Xenopus tropicalis: one gene and its partner. The protein of the gene in region 2 purifies or fractionates together with the protein of the main gene of each other region. This does not show direct contact. Links are inferred from orthologs where the notes say so. Each region holds a gene or a part of one and is shown on either strand. Other genes may lie near its edges. The genes, in order: lsm12 and atxn2l.

Region 1 (3,815 bases), on a different chromosome or scaffold from region 2:
TACTTGATCCCAACTAAGATATAATTACCCCTTATTGGGGGCAGAACAGCCCTATTGGGTTTATTTAATGGTTAAATGATTCCCTTTTCTCTGTAATAATAAAACAGTACCTGTACTTGATCCCAACTAAGATATAATTACCCCTTATTGGGGGCAGAACAGCCCTATTGGGTTTATTTAATGGTTAAATGATTCCCTTTTCTCTGTAATAATAAAACAGTACCTGTACTTGATCCCAACTAAGATATAATTAATCCTTATTGGATGCAAAACAATCTTATGGGGTTTGATTAATGTTTTATTGATTTTTTGTAGACTTAAGGTATAGAGATCCAAATTATAGAAAGACCCCTTTTTTCGGAATACCCTTGGTCCCGAGCATTCTGGATAATCGGTCCTATACCTGTACTAGGTGCCCTTTAAAGGGGTGGTTCACTTTTAAATTAACTTTTGTTATGTTGTAAAATGGCCGATTCTGAGCAACTGTAATTGGTCTTCATTATTTATTTGTTATAGATTTTGAATTGTCTCCTTCTAAAATTGGTCACTGACCTCCGCAGCCAAAAAACTATTGCTTTGTGAGGCTATAGTTTTACTGTTATTGTTACTTCTTATTCTTTTTATATACCAGTTTCTCATTCAAACCACTCCCTGGATGCTAAGGTAATTTGAACCCTAGCAACCAGACAGCTACTGAAACTTCAAACTGGAGAGTTGCCGAACAAAAATTGAAGTTAGGGATTCACCAAATCCAGGATTCAGTTCGGGATTCGGCCGAATCCATGCCTCTGGCTGAACCAAATCCGAATCCTAAAAATCATATGACTTGGCCACGTTTACACGGAAGTTGAAAATTGTTTCCATTTTTAACCCTTCCAAAACCTAATTAGGATTCGGTAAATGGCCAAATCCTTACAAAAGTGCATTCTGTGCATCCCTAATTGAAATAATTAAAAAACTGCAAATAAAAAATGACCCAAGAGGAAATTGTCTCAGGATATTACATCACACTAAAACTTAGCTCATAGGTGAACAACCCCTTTAAGCTCACGCCCTATAAATTGAGTTAATGTTGAATAAGGAACTGCCCTTTAAAGGAATTGTAACATTTTTTAAAATTCAAATACCCTCTCAATACTTTTATTAGCAAATACAGCATAGCAAAATTTCAATAGTATAAGTTCAGGCAGCAGCTCTCTCCCACCATTGCAGTAAAACCCATAAATCACTCATTAGACGGACTCTGAAAACTCTAAAGAATGCAGCAAATTAACTTGTCTTTTCTTTTGCCCTATAAATTAGTGGTAATGTATTTTATTCAAAAACCACTTATAACATTGCAATTTTTTTTAAAGTTACATATCTTAACAGTATTTAGAGGAGCCAAATACGAAGTTACATTTTGAGCTACTTTTCCTTTTTAGAAACATGGCTGAACACAATGAAAGCAGGTCCTTACTGAAATACTTCAAATCAGTGATCAATTCTCCTTTCTCTGACTATTGCAGAGCATTCAGAAGGTTTCTATGTAGTGGTACCAAGGTGATATATATATTAAATCATTTAAAAAAAAAAAAAGGCCATTTCATACATAGGCCGGCTGGGGCTCAAAACACCTTGGATAGTCAAATCTTCTGAAGCAGCCCAAGATGGACAGCCTTGATATACATAAGGATCTTATTGTCAACACCACCACCCCCATCAGCTACAAGTGGAGAACAGCTTACTGAAGCTCCTTTAACATTAGAGAGTGGAAATCAGAACCCAGTTCCGGCAGGCACTGGCAACCTAGATGTCTTGTTTTTGTCACTTTCGTATTGTCCTAAAATTTTCACCTTTTAATCTCTAGCAAACATGAATTAGTTGATGTTACATGTAATTAATGAGCACCTAATGCATCATAATGCTTAGGGTTACCAACTCACTGCTGTCACAGAGCTGCTTTATAATTTAACCACTTTCAATGCTATATAGCAGGGCTGTGGAGTCGGTAGATAAATTCTCCGACTCCTCAGTTTCTGATACTTCCGACTCCTCTGTTTTTAATATGCTAATGTATTTTATACATTCATTGAAGGAAAGGAAGGAGACATACATGTCATTTAACCACAGAACTACTGGCTAGGAAGCCAACACTCTACTGTATTGCCCAAGTAATTAATTATGACTGTTTGTGAATTGGGACATTTAAACTTGCTTTATTTTTTTTATTCCCATTTAAATTTAGTAGGAGTCGGTTCATTTTTTGCCGACTCCAGGTACCCAAAATTACCTCCGACTCCACAGCCCTGCTATATAGTGCCTGTCCCAAAAGCAAGAACAGATTTCCTGTTGTACACATGCAGGGGCTGTTTTGTGCACATTAAAGGAGACATATTGGACAAATAGAAATAAACATTAATCTTGAAGGCAATTATGAATAATATATGGTGCTGGTTTTATATTGCTCTAAAACTTATAAAGATTGCTCTAAAACGTATAAAGACTTGGAGAGCAACACAAGCACCATAAAAGTTCATGGAAGGGACACTATCAGATTACAGGAGACTTTATTTGGGAGTAAATCTTATTTTTATTCAACCAAAACTTGTATCTAAGTCGACTATGAAGATTTTCATTCATGCAGGTCATGGTATATCTAGTAAGTCAGGAATTCAAAAATAACTACCAGGTTTGGGGGAACGGAGAGCCAACATCCAAGGGGTTGGTGAGCAACATGTTGCCCCCGAGCCACTGGTTGGGGAACACTGCTATAGACCCTATCAGGTGTCTCTCCAATTCAAACAAGGGGTGGGCATGTCCTAATGATCCCTGCCAATAGCACAGTAGGAAGGAAGTAGCCAATCAGAGCCCTGCAGTCACACAAGCAAATACAGGCTTCAGTTCCCTATCAGGTCAGTGTGTATTTAAACTTGGACAAATAAGGGACTCACTCAAGAAAATGTCTTCAAAAATATCCTAGAGCTTCCTGTCTGATCACTTTTGCCAGACAACAGACAGCCGTAAAACTATGAGGAGGAATGTGCAACTACAATCTTAAATGAAGTACAACAGATGCTTATACAGAATGTAAATTTGATTCTGCTCCTGCGAGTGCACCTCTGCATCTGCTCATGGTATCTGACAAAGATGGTTAGTGGTGAAGACTCACGTCTTATGAATGGTCTGAAAAAGTTGCTGTCCATCCAGTGACACTCCAGCACTGATAGCGTAGGCCTGGCTCAACTTCTCTTCCTTCTCTAAGCGAGCTCTGCTGGCAAGCTGCAGACATAACAGCAAAAGATTTACTTAGTTTTACTCAGTACAAAAGCTGGGGTCAATAGGCTGAAATAAAGCTGGGAAACTATCTGCAAGGAGTTTGTATATAACCCCCTTGCTTTCATGGTGTCCTGGTACTCAGGTACACTCCCACACACTGAAAACATACAGGCAGGTTAGCTGGCACCAGATAAAATTGACCATAGTTGTAAATGTGATAAAGTGCTATATAAAGAATATTATTAAATACTGACTAAATGTAAGGTGACCACCAGTGTAGCAAACACAAAACAAACCGCAACATTCAAATCAGAAGTTTGGAAAATGACAATATATTAAATTGCAAATAGGTTCCTACCTTGGTGATATTGAGAGAGGCTAAGGGCGGTGGGGTCTGTGTTCTTTCGTTTATCACCTCTACGTCAGACACATAGTCCAAATTCAGGAGAAGGATATCAGCATGGTTGGGCTTCCCACTGGAGGAGGGGCACTCTGCAGAAAAGGAGGTTAAGGAAAAGAGCACAGAAAGGGCAGCACTTAAGCACACAGCTCATTTA
Region 2 (4,519 bases):
GTAGGGGATCTAATGGGCTAAATACTACGTGCCCCTGGCAGGGGTTTATAGGGCACCTACATGGGGTAAGTGGGCAGGTAGCAGGGGATCTAATGGGCTACACACTACGTGCCCCTGGCAGGGGTTTATAGGGCACCTACATGGGGTAAGTGGGCAGGTAGCAGGGGATCTAATGGGCCACACACTACGTGCCCCTGGCAGGGGTTTATAGAGCACCTACATGGGGTAAGTGGGCAGGTAGCAGGGGATCTAATGGGCTACACACTACGTGCCCCTGGCAGGGGTTTATAGGGCACCTACATGGGGTAAGTGGGCAGGTAGCAGGGGATCTAATGGGCTACACACTATGTGCCCCTGGCAGGGGTTTATACATGGGGTAAGTGGGCAGGTAGCAGGGGATCTAATGGGCTACACACTACGTGCCCCTGGCAGGGGTTTATAGGGCACCTACATGGGGTAAGTGGGCAGGTAGCAGGGGATCTAATGGGCTACACACTACGTGCCCCTGGCAGGGGTTTACAGGGCACCTACATGGGGTAAGTGGGCAGGTAGCAGGGGATCTAATGGGCTACACACTACGTGCCCCTGGCAGGGGTTTATAGGGCACCTACATGGGGTAAGTGGGCAGGTAGCAGGGGATCTAATGGGCTACACACTATGTGCCCCTGGCAGGGGTTTATAGGGCACCTACATGGGGTAAGTGGGCAGGTAGCAGGGGATCTAATGGGCTACACACTACGTGCCCCTGGCAGGGGTTTACAGGGCACCTACATGGGGTAAGTGGGCAGGTAGCAGGGGATCTAATGGGCTACACACTATGTGCCCCTGGCAGGGGTTTATAGGGCACCTACATGGGGTAAGTGGGCAGGTAGCAGGGGATCTAATGGGCTACAAATGGGCTACATACTACGTGCCCCTGGCAGGGGTTTATACATGGGGTAAGTGGGCAGGTAGCAGGGGATCTAATGGGCTACACACTACGTGCCCCTGGCAGGGGTTTATAGAGCACCTACATGGGGTAAGTGGGCAGGTAGCAGGGGATCTAATGGGCTACACACTACGTGCCCCTGGCAGGGGTTTATACATGGGGTAAGTGGGCAGGTAGCAGGCGATCTAATGGGCTACACACTACGTGCCCCTGGCAGGGGTTTATAGGGCACCTACATGGGGTAAGTGGGCAGGTAGCAGGGGATCTAATGGGCTACACACTACGTGCCCCTGGCAGGGGTTTATACATGGGGTAAGTGGGCAGGTAGCAGGGGATCTAATGGGCTACACACTACGTGCCCCTGGCAGGGGTTTATACATGGGGTAAGTGGTCAGGTAGCAGGGGATCCAATGGGCTACACACTACGTGCCCCTGGCAGGGGTTTATAGGGCACCTACATGGGGTAAGTGGGCAGGTAGCAGGGGATCCAATGGGCTACACACTACGTGCCCCTGGCAGGGGTTTATACATGGGGTAAGTGGGCAGGTAGCAGGGGATCCAATGGGCTACACACTACGTGCCCCTGGCAGGGGTTTATAGGGCACCTACATGGGGTAAGTGGGCAGGTAGCAGGGGATCCAATGGGCTACACACTACGTGCCCCTGGCAGGGGTTTATACATGGGGTAAGTGGTCAGGTAGCAGGGGATCCAATGGGCTACACACTACGTGCCCCTGGCAGGGGTTTATAGGGCACCTACATGGGGTAAGTGGGCAGGTAGTAGGGGATCCAATGGGCTACACACTATGTGCCCCTGGCAGGGGTTTATACATGGGGTAAGTGGGCAGGTAGCAGGCGGTAAGAGATGCAGGGGGCATTGGTGAGGCAGGGGGCATTGGTGAGGCAGGGGGCATTGGTGAGGCAGGGGGCATTGGTGAGGCAGGGGGCATTCGTGAGGCAGGGGGCATTAGTGAGGCAGGGGGCATTCGTGAGGCAGGGGGCATTGGTGAGGCAGGGGGCATTCGTGAGGCAGGGGGCATTCGTGAGGCAGGGGGCATTCGTGAGGCAGGGGGCATTGGTGAGGCAGGGGGCATTGGTGAGGCAGGGGGCATTCGTGAGGCAGGGGGCATTGGTGAGGCAGGGGGCATTGGTGAGGCAGGGGGCATTGGTGAGGCAGGGGCATTGGTGAGGCAGGGGGCATTGGTGAGGCAGGGGGCATTGGTGAGGCAGGGGGCATTGGTGAGGCAGGGGGCATTGGTGAGGCAGGGGGCATTCGTGAGGCAGGGGGCATTGGTGAGGCAGGGGGCATTAGTGAGGCAGGGGGCATTAGTGAGGCAGGGGCATTAGTGAGGCAGGGGGCATTAGTGAGGCAGGGGGCATTAGTGAGGATGGGGGCATTGGTGAGGATGGGGGCATTCGTGAGGCAGGGGGCATTCGTGAGGCAGGGGGCATTCGTGAGGCAGGGGGCATTCGTGAGGCAGGGGGCATTGGTGAGGCAGGGGGCATTAGTGAGGCAGGGGGCATTCGTGAGGGAGGGGGCAGCACAATATTGGGGGGGGGAGGGTTAAGTGCCCCCCCCGGGTGAATGGGAAGGAATAGACCCAGAGGATTAGTGTGCGGCCACAGTGGGTGCCGGGGGGGGGGGGGTACCGGGGAGACCCCGGGAGGGCAGGGAACAAACCCAGGGCCTGCAATCCCCACGTGACCCGGGGCCCCGCCCCGTCCCCGGCACAGTCGGCCTGTGATTGGCCGCGCCGCCAGTCACTCACATAGGGCTGCCGGTAAAGCGTTCTCCCCAGCCGGGCCCCGAGTGCTTACCTGCCGGCTCCGGGCCTGTCCTGGCTTCTGCTCCCGCCTGGGGGGAGGTTCCCGTTAGGGCTGCCGGGGGATCCTTGCTGCTGAGCCGGGGCCATGGCCGGTTTGCGGCTGGGAGGGGCCTGTTGCTGCTTCAGCATATTCCGCCGGGGGTCGGACCGGGGCACGGGGGGCAAAACACGGGAACCGACGGCTGAAGGGTCAGAATGAAGCGGCGCCCGCCTACCTCACTCTAACCGCCGCCGCGACACACTGCGTGTGAACCGGGCGGGGCTCCCAGCAACCAATAGCGCGCAGCGCTGCAGGAAGGAACAACGCCGACAAGCCAATCAAATGCAATGCCCGCACAGCCGCCCAATGAGAAAGAAGATGGAACGCAACCCCCCCACCCGCCACTCACACCAATGGGAGTCTGCTCAGGAGGCGGGACAACACTGACACGAACCAATAGGCGGCCAGTCCCTGCTGCGCGTACATTAGAGAGGGGAAGGGGCGGGGCTGTGAGGTGGCTACCGCGGTGACCTCTCACACTATATAGAAAGGGCCACACTGACCGGAGGGAAGCCTTAGTGTTGTAGCCGGTACCGTGCGGAAGCCACGCCTCTCAGCGACCCTCGGGCAGCTACACACTGCGGCTCCCATTCCCCCAAGGCGTCACTCTCCCTAGCCCCGCCCACCGGCATATGCCTCCTTCCGCGCCACTTAAGCACAGACTCACCACCCCCAGCCCGTATCCCTCCGCCCGCGCCACACAGACAGGGTGTGATGCGACACTGCAGTGGGCGGATCCTTCCGCAAGCGGGAAATGGGGGAGGGGGGAACTCTGCATTCTATTCCTTCGCCAGTGGGTTTTGGGGGTTCCCTTGCCGTCTCCCACATCACTATTAAACACATGCTGCTCCATGGAGTGTCAGGGGTTTGGTTTAGAGGTTTTGGGAGTCCATAGGAGGGAAAGCAATGATGGGGGAGGAGCCAAAGGCTTTGTGGCATTGATACAGGCAGATTGGGTTAAATACCTATAGGTACCTAGTGGGTTGGCGGGGCAAACATGAGCGTAAGTTGGTATTTATAGACAAAGCGGCACAGACACAGGCTGGGAGGGAGAGGCGGCCATTAGCATGTAACCCTGGTGGCACGGTTTCATATTATTATTATTATTATATACTGACCCCACTGGGCACTGTGTGTGTCTATGGCACTACCGATATACCAGCTAATAAACTGGCATCAACCTGGGCACAGCAATAGCGATACAGCAGCCGCTGCTACTGAGACAAGCCAGGGAAGAGAGCGGCGACACCAAGAGACAGTCCAGTGTGAAATGAGAGAGACCCCAAGACTGGCAGCTAGGCATGGGGCACTGAGAGATGAGCCAGGGAAGAGAGCGGCGACACCAAGAGACAGACCAGTGTGAAATGAGAGAGACACCAAGACTGGCAGCTAGGCATGGGGCACTGAGAGATGAGCCAGGGAACAGGGCGACACCAAGAGACAGACCAGTGTGAAATGAGAGAGACGCCAAGACTGGCAGCTAGGCATGGGGCACTGAGAGATGAGCCAGGGAAGAGAGCGGCGACACCACGAGACAGACCAGTGTGAAATGAGAGAGACGCCAAGACTGGCAGCTAGGCATGGGGCACTGAGAGATGAGCCAGGGAACAGGGCGACACCAAGAGACAGACCAGTGTGAAATGACAGAGACACCAAGACTGGCAGCTAGGCATGGGGCACTGAGAGATGAGCCAGGGAACAGGGCGACACCAAGAGACAGACCAG

The links.
Region 1: the proteins of atxn2l (region 2) and lsm12 purify together in Homo sapiens (affinity purification with mass spectrometry; 4 studies listed by BioGRID and IntAct, with this or other methods). This does not show direct contact. The link is inferred for Xenopus tropicalis from reciprocal best matches to the Homo sapiens genes ATXN2L and LSM12.

What each region holds. Positions count from the first base shown.
Region 1 is NC_030686.2:18,352,932-18,356,746, forward strand, and holds part of lsm12 (protein LSM12 homolog), read right to left. Parts: intron 3,751-3,815; coding exon 3,617-3,750; intron 3,262-3,616; coding exon 3,152-3,261; intron 1-3,151. UniProt on the Homo sapiens protein: Nicotinic acid adenine dinucleotide phosphate (NAADP) binding protein. Confers NAADP sensitivity to the two pore channel complex (TPCs) by acting as TPC accessory protein necessary for NAADP-evoked Ca(2+) release.
Region 2 is NC_030685.2:382,452-386,970, forward strand, and holds the start of atxn2l (ataxin-2-like protein), read right to left. Parts: upstream 2,975-4,519; 5' UTR 2,884-2,974; coding exon 2,747-2,883; intron 1-2,746. UniProt on the Homo sapiens protein: Involved in the regulation of stress granule and P-body formation.